3 linked regions of the Cricetulus griseus genome follow. The protein of the gene in region 3 purifies or fractionates together with the protein of the main gene of each other region. This does not show direct contact. Links are inferred from orthologs where the notes say so. Each region holds a gene or a part of one and is shown on either strand. Other genes may lie near its edges.

Region 1 (6,139 bases), on a different chromosome or scaffold from region 3:
GGGATTCCAAGTGTGTGCTACACCTCCAACTGGCCTGTGGTATTTCAGAGGAAGTGAAGTGGGGAGGTAACTGAAAAGGTGTGCTCCAAACATCTTTGCTTGCTTAATCATCTCGTTTTTTATTTTGTTTTTGTTAAGTAGGGCATAATAATTTTATGAGTTTTTTTTTTTTAAGATTTGTTTATTTACTATGTATACAGTGTTCTGCCTGCATTTATGAAGGCACACCAGAAGAGGGCACCAGATTTCATTACAGATGGTTGTGAGCCACCATGTGGTTGCTGGGAATTGAACTCAGGACCTCTGGAAGAGCAGTCACTGCTCTTAACCTCTGAGTCATCTCTCCAACCCCATTTTATGAGTTTTAAAAAGTAGTATCATAATCAGAGTATTTTTGCCCATAAAAAATGGTCTCTTTACATCCTGCATCCAGTTTTTCACTCGACATAAAGATTTTTGGAGTTGCCAGGGTGTGGTGGTGCACACCTTTGATACCATCACTTGAGAGGCAGGAGCAGGTGGATCTCTGAGTTTGAGGCTAGCCTGGTCTAAAAAGTGAGTTCCAGGATATCCAAGACTACCCAGAGAAACCCTGTCTTGAAAAACCCTAGGAGTCACACAAGTTACTGTGTATGTGCACAGTTATCTGCCTTTAAAAAAATAACCTGAGACAGTTGGATATAGTGGTGCACATCTTTAATCCCAGAGCTCCAGAAGCAGAGGTAGGTGGATCTCTGTGAGTTAGAGGCCAGCCTGGTCTACATAGTGAGTTCCAGAATAGCCAGAGCTACAATATAAGACCCTGCCCTGAAACACACACACACACACACACACACACACACACACACACACACCACCCACCCACCCACCCACCTGTGGAGTAGAGAGATGGCTCATCAGTTAAACGGCTCACAACCTGTAACTTCATCTCTGGGGATCCTATGCCCTCTTCTGGACCCCACAGGCAACTGTATTCATATGTAAATATACACAACTAAAAATACAAATAAAAACAGGTCAGTGGATGGCTCAGTAGAAAAAGGCAATTGCCACCAAGCCTGACAATTTGAGTTATATGCCTAGAATCCACATACAGGTGGAGAGAACAGACTCCAATAGGCTGTCCTCTGATCTCAGTATGCACAACTAGGCGCGCATACCCCTATATACAAAATAGCTTCCTTAGGGGCAGGCCTGAAACTAGACAAATTACACAGCCACAGGAGGGAAGGTGGGAGAAGGTAGGAAGGCCAGGAGGCCTGCATGAAGTCACACCAGCACAAACTGAAGGTGCAGGCTTGTATCTGAAATGTATCAGTGGGGTCGTTTCAGATCCAAGCCCTGTCACCTTTGAGCTATGTGTTCTTCAGAGAACTGCTAAGCCAATCTGATGCCACTTTCTCCTTTGCAAAGAGGAGGGTGGGATTGATACCTATTCCACAAGAAACAGGCCAAACTCCTGGCATAGTTCTAGAAATGATTTCTGCCTTTCAACACTGGCAGCATTTTTAGGACTTGGGTTATTCTGACTGGCAGATGGGCATTCTAAGCTTTGCCAGACCCAGGAGCAAAGAGAGGCACAGCTGTAAAAAGCAGCTTTGCCCTCCTGGAGTCCACAGTCCAGATGAAGAAATAAGGCATGCTATTAACAGTTAACCCATCACAATTAAACTCTTGCAAGCAGAACTGCAGTCCTGGGGTGCAGACCACACACAGGAGGTTCAGAACCTGAACCAACAAGCCCACAGAAATACAGCAAGCTCATTATGGGTTCTCAGGAATACAAATCCAACACAAAAACCTTCCCACAGGGAGGATGCCTCTCTTGCTCTTACGTCCCTGGAGAAGGTGGGCAAAGGCCTCTCCTGAAATGCTAACACCAGCCTGTGAAACCAGCTTTTCTATAGTTCATTCTAGGAAGCCCAGCCTGGGCCTTAGAACTCATTCCTAGTGGTGGGGCTCTTACAACTTTACTGCTGCCTCAGCAACATGGAAAGAGGCTGATAAAGAAAACAAGGTCCCTGAGAATCATTAACTGGCAAACCTATCGGGAGGCTCCTTCCTGATGCACCCCTTCTCAGCAGCCATGGATTTCCTGTAGCTCTTCAATTAGAGGTGGGGCCTTGGGAAACTTCCCCCCAATTCATGTTAGCATGTGAACTGGTATTGGCATTATGCATCCAATCCCATGTTGTCAACACTGAACATATGTATGTATAAGCAACACTAAATGGTCAAGAGATTGTGTATGTGTGTATATATATATAGCAATGATAAAGTAATGAATTTGAGAGGGGGCAGGGGAGCATGCAGGAGAGGGATAGAAATGTGTAAATATTGTACTCACATATGAGGGCTGGGATTGCAAAATGGTGGAGTGTGTACTGTGTTTGCAGGCACAGCAGGCACTTATGATGAGGGAGATCAAGTAAAGTCAAGAAAAGGAACTAATATTTCTTTTTTTTTTTTTTTTTTTTTTTTTGCTTTTCGAGACAGGGTTTCTCTGTGGCTTTGGAGGCTATCCTGGAACTAGCTCTTGTAAGACCAGGCTGGTCACAGAGATCCGCCTGCCTCTGCCTCCCAAGTGCTGGGATTAAAGGCGTGCGCCACCAACGCCCGGCTGGAACTAATATTTCTATATGCCAACCATGTCTGTGGCAGGGCCAGGGATGGCAGCACACATCTTTAATCCCTGAGCATGGGGGGCTGAGACAGGGGTTATCTCTGAGTTCCAGGAGCGAAAGTGCAACCAGGGCTGCTTAAGAGACCCCGTCCAAAAACAAAACAAAAACAACAAGACTGGTGATATGTCTTAGCAGTTTGGAGAGGAGCAGGGGTGAGTTCCCAGCACTCACATCAAGTCTCATAACCACCTGTAACTCCAGTTCCAGGGAATAAAGCTCCCCCTTCTGATCTCCATGGATACCAGACAGGCCCACGGTGCCCCTACGTACATTCAAGCAAACACTCGTACACACAAATTAAAAAAAAAAAATCTTAAAAAATAAAAAGTGCCCTGGAAAAGTTTTAAGAAATGGGGGCCGATGGAGAGACTCGGTTTTCAAACCTTTAAGGAGAGTCCCCACCTTTAAAAGGTTCTGTCCAGGAGTACAGCGCGTCCGGGATTTGTAAGTCTCCAGTCCCTTGAGAAAGCAGAGGCCGTCTCTCTGGCCTTTCTTTCTAAATGCTCCCACTGAGGAGGCACACCCGCAGAGTGCAGCTCCCCAGGACACAGGGCGTGTGGGGAGCCCTGTGACGGCCACCACAGTAGCAGAGACAGAAGCAGCTCCGGGCTCTGCTTATGTCATCCCACGTCAACGGCCGGGGACCGGTGCCGCTACACACCCTGGGATAAACCCGCTTTCGGGAACCGGGTCTTGCCTGCAGGCTTCCACAGACCGGGGTCCGCATCTTCCGAGGGCTGGGTCGCTTCTGCCATCTCTCCTTTCCCGGGAGGGCCAGGGGCACTGCGTTCCCTCTTCACCGACCCAGATCAGCCCACCCTGGAGGTGCGACCTGGCTTCCCGGGGCCGGCCCGGCCCCACCCACCGCAGGCCGCCCTTAGTCCAAACCTCTGGGTTCGAAGCTGGCTTGCGACAACCGGGCGCCTGCCACGTGACCTTGAACATGCCCTCCCTGCCCTCCGTCTTCCCGCTGACCTTTCCCAACCTCCGCCCGGCCGCGACTCGGCGGCTGTGGCGAAGCGCGGGGGGCCGTGTGACAGGACGCTCCGGGGCAGCGCGCAGGTGGCACGTCCTCCCCCGAGGCCTGGACCCGGGCTCCCGCCGCCTCTCCGTGGCCTGCCCACCCCAGGCAGCCTCGGGGACGGGCACGGCGCCCCCTGAGCCACGGCCCCGCGCCTCACCTGCAGGCGGGCTCTGCCGAGAGCCGTTGCCGGGAAGCAGCGCCTCAAGGAGACACCAACCGCCACCGCCGCCGCCGCCGCCATCTTGGCTCCCAACGTCAGCCCCGCCCCTTACCCTCCGGCATCCCGTCGAACACCGCGGTGGAAGCCGGCCTCTCACCCCGAGGCCCGCTAGCCGCCTGAGAGCCAACGAATGGGAGGCGGCTTCCGGTTTCCCGAGCGAGCCAATGGGAAGCGCGCGTGCGCAATGGCGGCCAGCAGGGCGCATGCCCACTGGGCCTCCCTTGGTCCTAGGGTGACCTCTGCAGTCTGATGGGCGGGAGAAAGGGTGGCTGGCAAGGGGCGGAGCAAAGACGAGGAGGGGCGGAGCCTTCCCGTTTTGCTCTGGGTCGGGATTTTAATCCCTCTCCGCTTGCCAGGATGCCTGTCAATCATGTCTGACTCTTGACTGATCAGCTCTTTTGCTGAATACAGAGAACCCCTCAGCGCCTAGCTGATTGGGGCAGTTGGTGAGTGATTGAGGCGATCACAAGGATGACTGACAAAGGTGTCACTCACGCATTTATCCATAAATATGTACATAACCCGCAGGGCTGGAATCCTAGAAATTGGCACGCGGAGGCAGGAGGAGGATCTTTGGCTGCGTAATGAGGTGGAGGGCAGTCTGGGATACACGAAACCGTGCCTCAAAACACGCAAAACCAAAACGAAAGCAATCTGTGGCTGGGCCCAGGCTCTGCGATGCCGGGGTGAGTGACCCAGACACTCACATAATTCCTCTATAACAGTGGAGATGGGAAAGTGGGGGAAGTAACAGTAGGAAAGATGGGTGACGTCGCCTAGGGTGTCCACTAAGGAGAATGACCTTGAACTTCAGCTCTTGCTGCTGGAGTTACAGGTGTGTGCCACCATGCCCGGGTGTGCGTGTTAGACAATCACTCTGCCAACTGAGCTGTATCCACAGAGTGTGTTTTGTAAGTTTCCTTTAACGTCTGGACTGTTTTTTCTAGCACCTTGTTTACATTCTTTCAGTCTCTCTGACTTGGGATTTGACTACATTAGGCAGGTGTGATCTTGGTGTCCCAAGTCATTTGATCTCTTCGGACACCCAGTGACTTTGCTGGTCACCTGTTTCCAGAAGGAATGATTTCATTTCTCTCCTCTCACTTTTGGCAAAGGAAGATCACTGTTTACAGTCTTTGGTTTCCTCACTCCAACTCATTTAGATGCCACTGGAGAAATTAAGATGACAGAGGGAATGGCTAGATGGGGCCACGTTTCTGAGACCTGAACCTGAAGCTGGCTTCTCTGCCAGGTGGCCTCTCCAGAAGGTCACCTCAACTGCTCCCCTTCAGGCCATGTGACCTTGGACAAGTCCTTCTTCACCTCTGACTTATAGTGTCCTGGTCTGAATCCGCAGGGGGGTTGGGACAGCTGATTTAAGATTCTGCAATTGACATGGCTTGTCTTGTGCAACAGATGACAAGGTGGAGGTCACCTTGACTTTGCAGGGAGCTGGCTCAGCACTGGGATAGGCCCCTCCAGTCTACCCCAGCCGACCAAATTGAGTGCTCCTGCCTCTGCCTCTTGTAGGCAGACCTCCAACTTGTAGGAGGTTGTAGGAAGACCTTCGTTTTCTTTGCAATTCCTCCAGAGAGTCAATAGGTATTATTTCCAGAGACCTGACACCTTAGCCATTTCCAGCCATCATGTCAAAGACAGACACCACCCCCACAGGAGTGGCTAGCCTTTAACTTTTCCCAGGTCACCTTGGAAAAAGCAGGCTGTGGCCAGCAAAAGTGAGACCTTGATTTATGGAGGGGCTCTCGGTGCCAGTGTGCCCACAAACTCTGCAGTCATGTCATTCCTGGGCTTCATGGGGATTTGGGAAGCTCAGTGTTATGGAGAGATAATAAATTCCTGGGCGGCTCTACCTCCGCACTGAGCTTCGGGCTTCCACAAAGGCACAGATGTCATAGGACTTAAAGGTTTTCATGGTCTACTACTGACTTATGTTCCCGAGGTGTCCTTGCTATAAGACCAGGCTTTGGGGTGGGTTGGTTGCCATCCATGTAGAGAGCGATTGATATATTGCTTTTCATCAGACATTGTGATGGGTGTTCTGTATTTATACAGAACCTCACCTCATCCCTTGCAAATGTGTTTACATCAACAGTCTACTCTGGTTCTCCCGACAACCCAGTGGAGTGCGAATGACTGCCCCTGTTCACAGACAGTCTTTGAATACTAGGAAATCTGGGCAGCCTAGGGTGG
Region 2 (6,208 bases), on a different chromosome or scaffold from region 3:
AGTGCCAGAATACCTTTCCATCCAAGCTGTAACACTCAGTATTCTTTGGCTCCCCAGTACCAGAATCCATCCCTATCATCCCATCTAAGCCGTCGAAATGCTTACAAGAGTTTAAGGCCAGCCTGAGCTACATGAAACCCAGAAGGAAGGAAGGGAGGGAGGGAGGGAGGGAGGGAGGAGAGGGGAGGGAGGGAGGGAGGGAGGGAGGGAGGGAGGAAGGAAGGAAGGAAGGAAATTATTTAAAATTCAGCAGCACCAAAAAACACTTCCCCTAAGACTTGACAAAGAGACAAATGGGCTCCTGGGTATTCATCATGGACAATCCTTGCTATATTATGCCACCCAACATGTTTCATGGCATCTATGCATTTGGAGGGCTAGCTGGGAGTTATCTATCTACCAGGGTTTGCACTTGCTGTCTGTATTGACTAATACACCCCCATCCCATCACATCTCATCTGGCTAGTCCCTTTCATCACACAGGTCAAGTGTCAAAAACTCAGGATCTCATAATAGGGCAGTACATAGTGTATGCATACTGTGTAATGTCATTTACATAACAAAAATGAATCAGTATTGTAAAAGAGGAGACTGCTCCCTTTGTTAGATACAGGTACTAAAGGATTTGAGCTGCTGTTAATTTACTTTCTTGTTCTGTATGTAGTGACCCAGCTGCTTGTCACAGATTACAAACTCACCAAACAGTTCACTGACAGTCAATACTGTCACCTTGACAGGTCTGGAATCACCTAGGAGACCAACCTCTGGGCACACCTGTGAGGTTACCACTAGATTAAGTGAGGAGGAAAGAGCCTCTCTGAATGCAGGTGGCAGCCTCCCATGGGTTGTGCTCCCAAACTGCACAGAAAGGAGCAGAGCGTTCATCTGCCTCTGCTTCCTGACTGTGGATACATGTGACCAGTTGCCACAAGTGCCTGTCGCCTTCCCTTTCCCACCAGGATCATCTGTGATCATCTCGTTCAACTGTGAGCCAGAACAATGCCTGCCTTCCTTAAGCTGCCATTTTGGGTATTCTGCTACAGCAATAAGAAGAGTATGCTCTACGTTTGTGTCTTCAATTAAAAAGTTAAGCATAGACCAGTCATGGCAGCTCAGACCTTTACTCCCAGTCCTTGGAAGTCAGATGAAAGTGGATCCCTGTGAGTTCTAGGAAAGCCTAGGCAACATAGGCCAGCCACAGCTACACATGAGACCCAGTCTCAAAAAAAAGAAAACAATTAAACCTAAATAAAAACATGTTATGGAACAGATTTTCTGGCCTTTGGTGTACCTGCCTGTGAAGCTATTTATTCCCCATCATGTGGCCCTGTTTGATTTCATTATGGCTCCGTCAGTTCTGGAAAACATCTTTCTTGCTGTAGAATCTATTTTTGCCCATCCTGCCCATGTGCTCAAGGGATCTGCCTGCTTTACTTATAGCCCCAGGTCCCAGGGCCTGAAGCAGACCTCCCGATGGTGTAGAGATGGCCAAATACAGCCCTATAAAGGATATAACATTAACCCAAAGTCAAAACGATGAAGTAGAGGGCAGAAGTTTAAGAGAGACAGACAGACAGACACAGAGGGAGAAAGTTCAATGACATTAAGCATCAAAAATGTGTCTAAAGTTAACCCCAGGGAGGGGTGTTATTCTATGGGTATTTTTGTGAAACCCCTTAAGAGTTGCTTCTAAAAGCAGAAAGTCAGTCTTTTGTCTTGGCCCATCCACAAGTTTTGTTTTGTTTTTTTCCACAAAGTCTGGTATAAAGTAGGTCTGGGCAGAGGTTGCCAACAGATTTCTGAGATACTTGGAAAAGATTCCTAAGTTTGGTGGGGGGAATAATGAACCATCCTTAACGGTAGCATCAGGTAAGATCTAGGAAGTAGATAGTTTGTATCAAATCAGAATGGCATGGAGCAGGTACTAAGAAAATAGATCCTTAAAGTCAGGGGCTGTGTGCACCTCCTTCCATTACCAACTCCAAAATGTTCCTTTAAGAAATGTGTCCCCAGCACTAGTGACTTGCAGCTTCTACAGGTCTGCAATTTAATTTACTTGGGAAATGGGCACTCACCAGGCTCTCCCCTGGTATACCAGGAACGTGAAGTAAACCTTTACTCAGCCTTCAGCTCTGCCTCAAACTCTCTGTAACCTTGAACAGGTCACTCAACTGCTCAGCCCTGGACTTTTGTACACAGGAGCACTCCTCAGGCTGTCCTGAAATCACCTGTCTTCCTCTAGCACTCTCCACCTTCCACAGGGTCACTCGCTGAAATGGGACCTCACCATTTCAGCTAGGTTAGCTGGCCAACAAGCTCTGGGGACCCACATGTGTCTTCCTCCCAGTACTGGGTTCACAAGTTCACAATGCCACACTTAGCTTTGTACATGGCACCGGGGAGACCATGAACTCAAGGAAGCCAGTGTCCTTACTACCTGAGCCATCTCCCAGCCCCACTGTCATCTTCTAAGCCTGGTGTTCCCAGAATTATAAATAATGGGTACATAAACCAAAAGCACATTGTCCAATGTAGGTAACAGGTCTTCTCATCCCAGTCTGCTTGCCAGCCAGTCTCTCCTAAGTATTCTAAGGTTTTTGTTACTTGGGTAGGGAAGATGACAACATACTTCACCTAAATGTTCTGTTTTAGGCTTCTATGAACAACCACCGCCTTCCTAGTCTTCATTTTTCACTGCCCTGGGCTCCATGTTTCTCATAAATTCAAATCTACCATAACAGCACCACAGTTCTCGTTTTTTTTATAACACTTAAATAATGAATAGGACTTAGATCATCTGGAGATCTCTCCTTACTCTATTATAGCAGGTATCAGTGATTTTAATTAGACAAACCGCCATCCCTGTCCCTTACCCACCATACTGTCAAGTGCCTATTAAGGATATTACAATAATAAGTATTAGCACCTCTTCAATTCCCATTAACAATAACAGAGAAATGGAACATCAGGTAATGAAAAGAAAGGAAAAAAAAAAACCTTCACGGGTGTCAAAATTACTTAGAGTAACTCAAAAAAAAAAAAAAATCACTAGTAACTTTTTCTTGCAGTTTTCTCAGTGCCCTATGCGTGCCTTAGTTAAAATGTGATAATTTGCCTCTCACTGAGCTGAGAAGTTCTCTTTTTTTCTTTCTGAGGGAGGGGGTAATCTAGAGAAAGTAGAAAGTGTCAAAGTCAACTATTCCCCCAAGAGGCCTCTGGCTACGTTGAAGGTTGCCATCAGAAGCACCTAAACATGTGAGCACCGTGGCGCTGTTCCGAGTCCAACACTAGCAACTCAGTCTCCATGAGGCATGGACAAAGTGGGTAGGGACGGAGGAATTTTGACACAGGCCATTCATAGGAGAAGGAAGAGGAGCGGGCTCCCACTTTGCTCCTGGACCCCTGCATTGCCCCCGAAGAGAAGCACGCAGAGGCTGCACGAGCAACAACCTGCAGAGTTCACCCTGGCAGGTGAGCAGCCTTGAGAGCCGCCGGTTTTCTGGCATGTGGAGCACGTGGCCGGCCTGGCGAGCTCCGGCAGACGGACGCCCCCAAAGCCGCTCCAGGAAAGACTGGGAAAGCTCTGGATTCCAACAGTGCGAGCAACTTTCGCCACCTCCACCGGGGCCAGCGCCGGGCTCCAGTGCCAGCTGGGGGGGTGGGGGGGGTGTGAAACGACCCAGACCGTGGTGTGTGTGTGACTGCGACCCCGCCACCCCCGCGACCTCCCGTGGGAGGTGGCCCGGGTCCCGCTGCTACACCAGGGACGCCGCTCTGCCAGCCACGCCGCGGGGCAGCACGGGGGTCGCGCGAGGGGTCTCTGGGGACCAAGAAGCCGCCGCCGAGCAGGGGCGCCACAGCGGGTGGCTTGCGTCGTCGCAGCCGCGCTCACCTGGGACCTGACCGCCAGGAGCCGCGGCCGCAGCGCTTGCTCTCGCAGAAGCTTCCCGGCCTGCGCCGCGATGGCCACGGGGGACGCCATCTTAACCAGGAACCTGTGGAGAGGCCGCAAGGGGGGGAGGGGGCGGGCGGGGCGGGGAGGGAGCCGGCCCCTGACCGAGGCCACGGGCGGGGCGAGCCGAGGAGGGGCGGGGCGGTAGGGGAGGGAGGGGGCGGAAGAGGGGGCGGGATGGGAGGAGCACGGGGAGGCTGAAGGGAGCAGGGTGAATTGGGAAAGGGAAGGGATGGGAGTGGCAGGAGGGTAGGGGACTCACCCACTCGCTCCCACCACCACCCCTTCGCCCACCACCAGCACCACCACACTCGACGCCTTGTGGCTTCCCAGACCTCACAATTTCTTGCTTGGCTTCCAAACAAAAACGGATCTCAGCCCCAGGGACGACACTGGCTTAAACTGGCCCCAGGAACCACAGATTAGAGGATTGTTGACTGCAGTGAGGGCTGCTAGGTCTGAGCCTAGCAACTGATGCCATTATAAAGGACACCTCTTGGACAAAGGATTGTTCCCAAGGAAGGAATTAGAACCAATGCTGCCCACAGGCCACGTGGGGCAGGCGAAGTGGGTGGTTTGTTTTACGTGGTAGTGGTTTGTTGTTTTCCTTTTGGCTTTTGAGATCAGGTTTCAAATACCTTCCATTAGCCAAAAATTCATGTAAAGCTCCTGACCCTTCCTCTACTTCTCAACTATGGAGACAGTAGAAAGGCACCACCCTGTCTCTCTCGTGAAAGTGAAGGAGGATTTTAGGCATGTCTTAGAGGCACGTGTTAATAAAATATCTTCACCAATCCCACATCTGACAGAGGGCTGATCACCAAAATATACAATGAACTCAAGAAGCTAGGCACCAAAACTCTAAACAATGCAATTAAAAGATGGAGTGCAGAACTAAATAGAGAATTCTCAACAGAGGAATCCAATATGGCTGAAAGACACTTGAGAAAGTGTTCAACATCCTTAGCCATCAGGGAAGTGCAACTTAAAACCATTCTGAGATACCATCTTACTCCTTTCAGAATGGCTAAAATCAATTAAAACCAATGACAATCTATGCTGGAGAGGATGTGGAGAAAGAGGAACTCTACTCCATTACTGGTGGGAGTGCAAAGTTGTACAACCACTTTGGAAATCAGTATGGCGGTTTCTCAGGAAAATGGGAATCAGTCTACCTCAAGATCCAGCAATCCCTCTCTTAGGCATATACACAAAGAATACACACTCATACAATAAGGGCATATGTTCAACTATGTTCATAGCAGCATTATTTGTAATAGCCAGAACCTGGAAACAACCTAGATACCCCTCAACTGAAGAATGGATAGAGAAAATGTGGTGTATTTACACAATGGAGTACTACTCAGTGGAAAAAGCAATGGAATCTTGAAAATCGCAGGCAAATGGATGGAACTAAAGAAACCATCCTCAGTGAGGTAACCCAATCACAAAATGATAAACATGGTATGTACTCACTCATTTTTGATTTTAGAAATAGAGCAAAGGATCACTAGCCTACATTCCACACTGCCAGAGGAGCTAGGAAACAAGGAGGACCACAACAGAAGATTGCATAGTCCCTCTAAGAAGGACATGGGGACAAGAACCCCTGACCAAATTGGAGCCCAGGGACAGGGAGAGCAAGGAGAGTCTTCATCCAGTTGCTGTTCGAAGCAGAAACAGACACCCATATGTAGGGAGACACCGTAACCACACCTCCTAAGGGCTGGCTACAGGTGTGCCTGACTATGCCTATCAGGGCATGGTCAAGGTGAGGTAAGGATGACTCAGGATAGGTTTTTAAGGGGCTGCAAGCACACAGGAGCCTCTCTCTCTGGCCTAGCTTCCTTTCTGCCCCTGGCACGCTCTGGCAAAGGACACAGTCAACAAGACAATACAGCAGCCCACAGAATGGGAAAAGATCTTCACCAAACCCACATCTGACAGAGGGCTGATTTCCAAAATATACAAAGAACTCAAAAAGCTAGTCACCAAAACACCAAATAATCCAATTAAAAAGTGGAGTTTAGAATTAAATAGAGAATTCACAATAGAGGAATCTAAAATGACTGAAAGACACTTAAGAAATTCCTGAACATCCTTAGCCATCAGGGAAATGCAAATTAAAACAACTCTGAGATACCATCTTATACCTGTCAGAATGGTTAAAATCAAAAACACCAACAACAGTTTATGCTGGAGAGTATGTGGAAAAGGGGGGACACTCCTCCATTGCTGATGGGAGTGCAAACTTGT
Region 3 (6,046 bases):
AAAAAAAAAAAAAAAAAAAAAAAAAAAAAAAAAAAAAAACCAAAGAAAAAACCCTGTAATTATCAGACAGGAGCCATGTCTCAGTGGCAGAGCACTTAGTTATCATGAGGCACTAGGTTTGATGCCCAGTACTGAAGAAAAAAAAACTTACAAAGGAGCTGGATGTGGGTGAGTTGAAGCAAGAAAATTAACCTGAAGCCAGCCTGAGCTATACAGTGAAATTCTGTCTCAAAAGAAAAAAACAAGCAAAATAGACTTACAAAGAATGCTACAAAAATTGTACTTGTATAGAATCTTTTTCTTTCTGTTCTCTTTTTAGTATTTTTGTTTGTTTGTTTTGTTTTGAGGCTAAGTATCATGAGCTTCCTGGACTAGGCCAGGTCTCATACAGAGGAAGTCACATACAGATGGATTGGGAAATCACCTTACAAGGTATAGTCCCCTGCTCAGGGGAGCCTGAAGAGTCTTATAGGCATCATTCACCAGGGTCGAATGCTTCTCTGAGAAGTGTTTTTCAGTCTGTTCATAGAGATAAAAACAGTTTATTACCACAAGAGCCAGTCCTCTTTGATTCCCAAACTTTTATAGTACAGTGATGGGCAGGGATTTAGAGTCATGGGCAAAATTACAACTGCTGTTGGATAAGTAGTTTGTAGTTTTCAACGGATGCGTTTTCAGTTTTATCTGGGAAGTCAGATAAAAACTGTGAGGAAATGACATCTCTGGGGCCTGGCTGTCTAGGGGCAGGCTGCCACAGGGTGGAGCTAGTAGCCCGACTCTTTCCCAGATCAACACTGCCATCTACCCAGTTCCACACATATATGGGGAATATTAGAGGGTCAGTGAATACCTGAGACTTTTGGCTGAAGAAATCTGGGTGGACGAGACGCTGCAGTTGCTGGTACCTGTGCTGAAGCTTCATGACATCAACCCTGAAGGATCGGTGGCTGGAAGGAAAGTGGATGTTACTCATGCAAAGTATTGAGCATTAATCACTACGGTCTGATTCTGCTCTTGGGGAAGATGTAATGAACATAATGACATCTGAGAGACTTCAATTGTGCTACTCCGGAATGACCAAAGATCAGAAAGGGACAGGAGTGGACAAACATGTAAGTGCAGAGACCCTGAAGTGACTGGAAGATTAACAGCTTGACAAATTCAGGGATAAGGTTAGCGTGGTCCATTGTAAGCACTGTGACTGATGAAAATGTGTATAAGAGTTTAGAGCACTTGCTTAACCTGTTTGTCCCTTGATTCCTACTTTTTCTTCTTTTTTTTTTTCTGTGCTGAAGACTGGATCCAGGGTCTCCTGCATGCTGGGCAAGAACTTTAGCACCAAGCCACTCACTTCCTTCCCCGACCAAGCCCCTTTTTACTTTTTATTCTGAGACAGGTTCGTAACTAAGGAGCCCAAGTTGACTTTGTAGTCACTCTATAGTCCAGGCAGGCTTTGACTTGCAATAAGCCTATTTTAGTGTCCCTGATCATTGGGGATTACAGGTCACCAGGCCCAGAGCCTTGGCCATTAAAAGAAAAAAGTGTGTGTGTATGAGATAAGATCTTGTATACCCCAGGCTGGCCTCAAACTTGGCATATGCCAAGAATGACCTACAACTCTGGATCTTCCCACCTCTTCCCTCAAGTGCTAGGATTATAGACATATGACAATAAACTCAGTATATCAGCTTAATTAAAAAAAAAAAAGGCTGAATTGAGTGTTGCTAAATTGCTCAGGGCTGAAATATTTTTTTTAAATTTATGTTTTCTTTCTTTCTTTCTTTCTTTTTTTTTTTGTTTTTTCAAGACAGGGTTTCTCTGTGTAGCTTTGGAGCCTATCCTGGCACTCACTCTGGAGACCAGGCTGGCCTCAAACTCACAAAGATCCGCCTGCCTCTGCCTCCTGAGTGCTGGGATTAAAGGCATGCACCACCAACGCCTGGCTATTTATGTTTTTTCAAGACAGGGTTTCTCTGTGTAACAGTCCTGGCTGTCCTGGAACTCACTTTGTAGACCAGGCTGGTCTTGAACTCAGAGATCTGCCTACCTCTGACTCCTGAGTGCTGGGATTAAAGGCCTGTGGCACTACCACCCTGGCTGAAATTTCTGATCCTTCTTCAGCTTCCTGAGTAGCTGGAATTACAGAGACTACCATACTGAGCCATTAATGTTAATATTCAGCCTTTTTAAAAGTATGGTACTGGGATTCGAACCCAGGTCCCTTGCTAATGCAAAGGAAGTGTTGTATCACTGAGCCAAAGTGAGGATTTAGCATTTACTTTACTTCTTTCTTTTTTTGGGGGGAGTGGTGTTGTTAGGGGGGAGTTAGACTGTGACTGTGTAGCCCAGACTGTAAGATCCTCTTGCTTTTGGCTGGGATCACAGGTGTGTGCAACTACACCTGGACCTTCCACATTTACTTTAATATAGTCTATTAGTTTAACTCTGCTCACACTTCCGTACCAATCTCCAGAAGAAAAGGCAAGGGGAAACAAACCATGTGAAACATTTCTTGGCCTCTCTCAAATCTTGAGCCTGAATTAAAATTTCTTGAGACAGGGATCCCACTGCTTAGCCTATATTGGGCTCCAACTTGTCACCCTTCTTCTTCATCCCTGAAGACTGAGATCCCAGACATATGCCACCACACTTGGTTTGTTTTATTCTTTTTCAAGACGGCTTCTTTGTGTAGCCTTGGCTGTCTTGGGACTCCATTTACAGACCAGGTTGACCTGGAACTCACCGAGATGCAGCTGCCTCTGCTTCGAGTGCTGGGGTTGGAGGTGTGTGCTGGCTTGTGCCAGGCGGTTTGTTTTATTCTTAATTGCTTTTGATTTTTGAGACCTAACCTCATGTAGCCCAGACTCTCATCAAACTCATTGTATAGCTCGGGTTGCCCTCAAATCTGTAATCCTGCCTCACCCTCTGAGCTCACAGGCATACATCAACACAGACGACTTGTTTTATTTTTATTGTCTCCTTTAAAATATTTACTTATTTGAGATGAGAATGTTCCCTATTTTTGTGGTTGGGCACCTACTGGGGATCCTCCTACTTTAGTCCAGATGCTTTTAATCCTAGCACTGGGGAGGTAGAGTCAGAACTACAAGTTGAAAAACAAACTCTGCTCCTTTTTCCTCCCTGGAGTTCAGCCTCTGGAATCCCCTTTTCCAGGAGCCCGCCCCTCAAACCTCCCTATACTGTAAACTTGAGCCTGTTCCCTTTTGTTGTTGCTGATGTTTAAAAACAAAGCCTTTGTAGCAGAGGCTAGTCCTGAATTCCTTAACCTCCCACTTCCACTTCCCAAGTGCTTACATTGCAGGCATCTGCAAGTTTACGCTTTCATCCCCGCCTCCACCCTTACCTTCTTTCCAGTCTGTAACTTGATTTCCTCTTCCTCTCAGGCAAACTCCTAAAATCTCAGCAGGTCCTATATTATACAAATGACCTATATACTTTTTTTTTTTTTTTTTTTGCTTTGTTCGTTTTGAATGAGTCTCGGTAAGTTGCTTAAACTGGCCTTGAACCGTGGTCCTCCTGCCTCAGTCTTCCAGCTGGCTGGAAATTACAGGCCCGCCGGCGAGGACCCAAGTCGTAAGCACCAGGGTAACGCCTGCCTAATTTAACTAACTCGGCCATCCGAGCTCCCCAAGACCGACTCGCCCTCCCATAACTCTGCGCCGCGCGTACCAATTCATGAGGCTGAAGTAGTCCCGAGTCGGGTCAGGTGGCTGCAAGGCGCGGCAGTGTTCGCAGAAGAACCCATCCCCACTCTCCACACCCCCAGCGCTGCCGCAGTTCCAGCACTGGCCCGCATTGCTCTTGCCCGAGGCAGCGTTGCTGCTCAGCAGTCTCCTTCCCAGGAACCCAGCTAGTCGCACCTCCCACACGCAAACCAAAGCACGGGCCCGGCAGCCCCACATCCGGACAGCCGCCCGTCTGGCCTGGGTCGAGGGACTCGAGGGAAAGGAAGCAAGAGTGACTCGTTGCTGATTGGTTTAGTGAGCCGAGGAGGCGGGATCAGCCTCGGTAAAACAGGATGCCGAGTCCCGTTCTGCATCCTAAACTACAACTCCCAGCAAGCCTTGAGGCTAACGCATGGCAGCCACATTCGGGTCTTCTTATTGGTCGTGCCGAGCAGAAAGGCGTTTTGATTGGCTGAGGGTGGAGTTTGCATGGGTAGGTTTAGCGCCACACCACTGGTTGCGGCGGTCTGGGGTGTTTGTGGCTCCAGGTGTTCTTTCGCGGTGAGTTTTAGCGGGAAATTTTTCTTGCCTGTCTGAGGATTCGAATCGGGTCTCAGGGTCTTCTGCAAAGGGGCCCTTCGCAGCTTCCGCCTGGTCTGTGTGTGCAAGAGAGCTCTGCACGCAGGCGACTCTTCCTTGTTTTTTAGCTGCTCTTCGAGGGGGACATTCTCTTGTTATTTACAAGCTGAGACATGGGAAGGCACAGAGTTGGGCTCTTCAATGCCAGAGAGCGAAGTAGTTTCATAGCGAGTATTATAAATGTTAGTGATCATGCCAGGTCCCCGATTCATTCTTCCCAAATATTTACTGAGAACCACAAACATCGCTGCTAGGCTCTGCAGGAACTGGAGTGAGTACGTAAGGAAGTGTGTGGGGTAGGGTGGCAAGGAGTGGATAGGAAGCAACCAGCCATTCTCAGCTTCTCTACACGCTAGCGCTGTGTAATTGGCCGATAAATTCTGTTCGTGATCCTGAAATTTTGCTGTGGTCACTTTTTTTAAAAAAACTCATCAATGATTCTGCCCTTCTGAGGTGATCATAATATGCCTGTTCCTTTTATAAAAAATTTATTTTTAAAAATCATGTGTCTGTGTAAGTCTGTACAGTGCGCAGGGAGGCCAGCAGAGGGCAGTGCATTCCCAAAGAGCTGGAACTACTGGCATTTGTATGCTCCTGGATGTGGGTGCTGGGAACTGAACTCAAAAAAGCAACGTGCTCTTCTTAACCGCCGCGATGTCTCTCCAGTCCCTAAGTATACCCGTTCTCCGCTTCGTATGTTTGGTGGTACTCGGCATGGAATCCAGGACTTTGCGTCTACTATTGAGTTATATTCACATTCTTCACTTAGCTTTGGGTAAAGATTTATTTTTAATTATATGTTACGTGTGCAGGAGTATGCTCACGTGAGCGCAAGTGATTTCAGGGGCCACGAGAGGACTTCAAACCCACTGGAGTTGGAGTCACAGGCAATCTTGAGCTTCCAGACTTGGGTGCTGGGAACTTACTGAACTTTTGGGTTCTACAAGAATAGTTCTGTTCTTTGCTGCTGCATCATCTCTCCAGCTTCCATTCCTCGTTCTTGAATTTTAGGCCTCGCTCCTTGAATCTCCCCTCATTGTTGGACTCTGTTTTTGAGGTCGGATATGAAGAATCAGCAGTCCCACAGCAGTGGTTCCTGTTCACAGTCCCAGGGTGGCTTCACTCAGTCACAAGGCACTTCCTCTCAGTTACACGACCTCTCCTCACAGTCTCAAGGCACATCCAGTTCCTCTAGCGGCACAGTGTCATCCTCCAGCCAGTCCTCTCATTCCAGCTCTGGGACACTGAGCTCTTTAGAGACAGTGTCCACCCAGGAGCTCTGCTCTATTCCTGAGGACCCAGAACCTGAGGAGCCTGGTCCTGCCCCTTGGGCTAGGTTATGGTCTCTTCAGGAAGGATTCTCCAATCTGGGTAAGGCATTTTGTTATATAGTATAATGTATTGTTCAGGGAAACAGGGGTGGTGGTTAGATTGTTGCAACAGAAATCTCAGGGCCCCTATAACTGGTTAGAGGTGAGAAAAAAGTTAAAAAAAAAAAAAAAAGTGGAGGCTGTGGTGGAGTGCCTGGGCTGCCATTACCTGCCATGTACTCACTGTTATTTCTCCTCCTGGTTGATCCTCGTGCAAAGAATCAGACTTAGGCCTTATGCATGGTAGAGTGAGCTACATCTGTTGTTCCATCCCTAGCTACCTTATTTTTATTATCAAATAGAATTTTTTGAAATTTCATAGGCTGGCCTCAAAATTTATCTTTTTCTTTC

Evidence for each region.
Region 1: the proteins of Hscb (region 3) and Sdhb purify together in Homo sapiens (co-immunoprecipitation; 3 studies listed by BioGRID and IntAct, with this or other methods). This does not show direct contact. The link is inferred for Cricetulus griseus from reciprocal best matches to the Homo sapiens genes HSCB and SDHB.
Region 2: the proteins of Hscb (region 3) and Suclg2 purify together in Homo sapiens (affinity purification with mass spectrometry; 3 studies listed by BioGRID and IntAct, with this or other methods). This does not show direct contact. The link is inferred for Cricetulus griseus from reciprocal best matches to the Homo sapiens genes HSCB and SUCLG2.

Annotation. Positions count from the first base shown.
Region 1 is NC_048595.1:12,290,383-12,296,521, forward strand, and holds the start of Sdhb (succinate dehydrogenase [ubiquinone] iron-sulfur subunit, mitochondrial), read right to left. Parts: upstream 4,023-6,139; 5' UTR 3,950-4,022; coding exon 3,866-3,949; intron 1-3,865. UniProt on the Homo sapiens protein: Iron-sulfur protein (IP) subunit of the succinate dehydrogenase complex (mitochondrial respiratory chain complex II), responsible for transferring electrons from succinate to ubiquinone (coenzyme Q).
Region 2 is NC_048601.1:48,112,606-48,118,813, reverse strand, and holds the start of Suclg2 (succinate--CoA ligase [GDP-forming] subunit beta, mitochondrial), read right to left. Parts: upstream 4,023-6,208; 5' UTR 3,983-4,022; coding exon 3,893-3,982; intron 1-3,892. UniProt on the Homo sapiens protein: GTP-specific succinyl-CoA synthetase functions in the citric acid cycle (TCA), coupling the hydrolysis of succinyl-CoA to the synthesis of GTP and thus represents the only step of substrate-level phosphorylation in the TCA.
Region 3 is NC_048597.1:90,618,552-90,624,597, forward strand, and holds the start of Hscb (iron-sulfur cluster co-chaperone protein HscB), read right to left. Parts: upstream 3,975-6,046; 5' UTR 3,924-3,974; coding exon 3,691-3,923; intron 948-3,690; coding exon 851-947; intron 520-850; coding exon 430-519; coding exon of another isoform or gene 425-429; intron 1-424. Other genes in the region: Chek2 (serine/threonine-protein kinase Chk2), read left to right, coding at 5,390-5,696.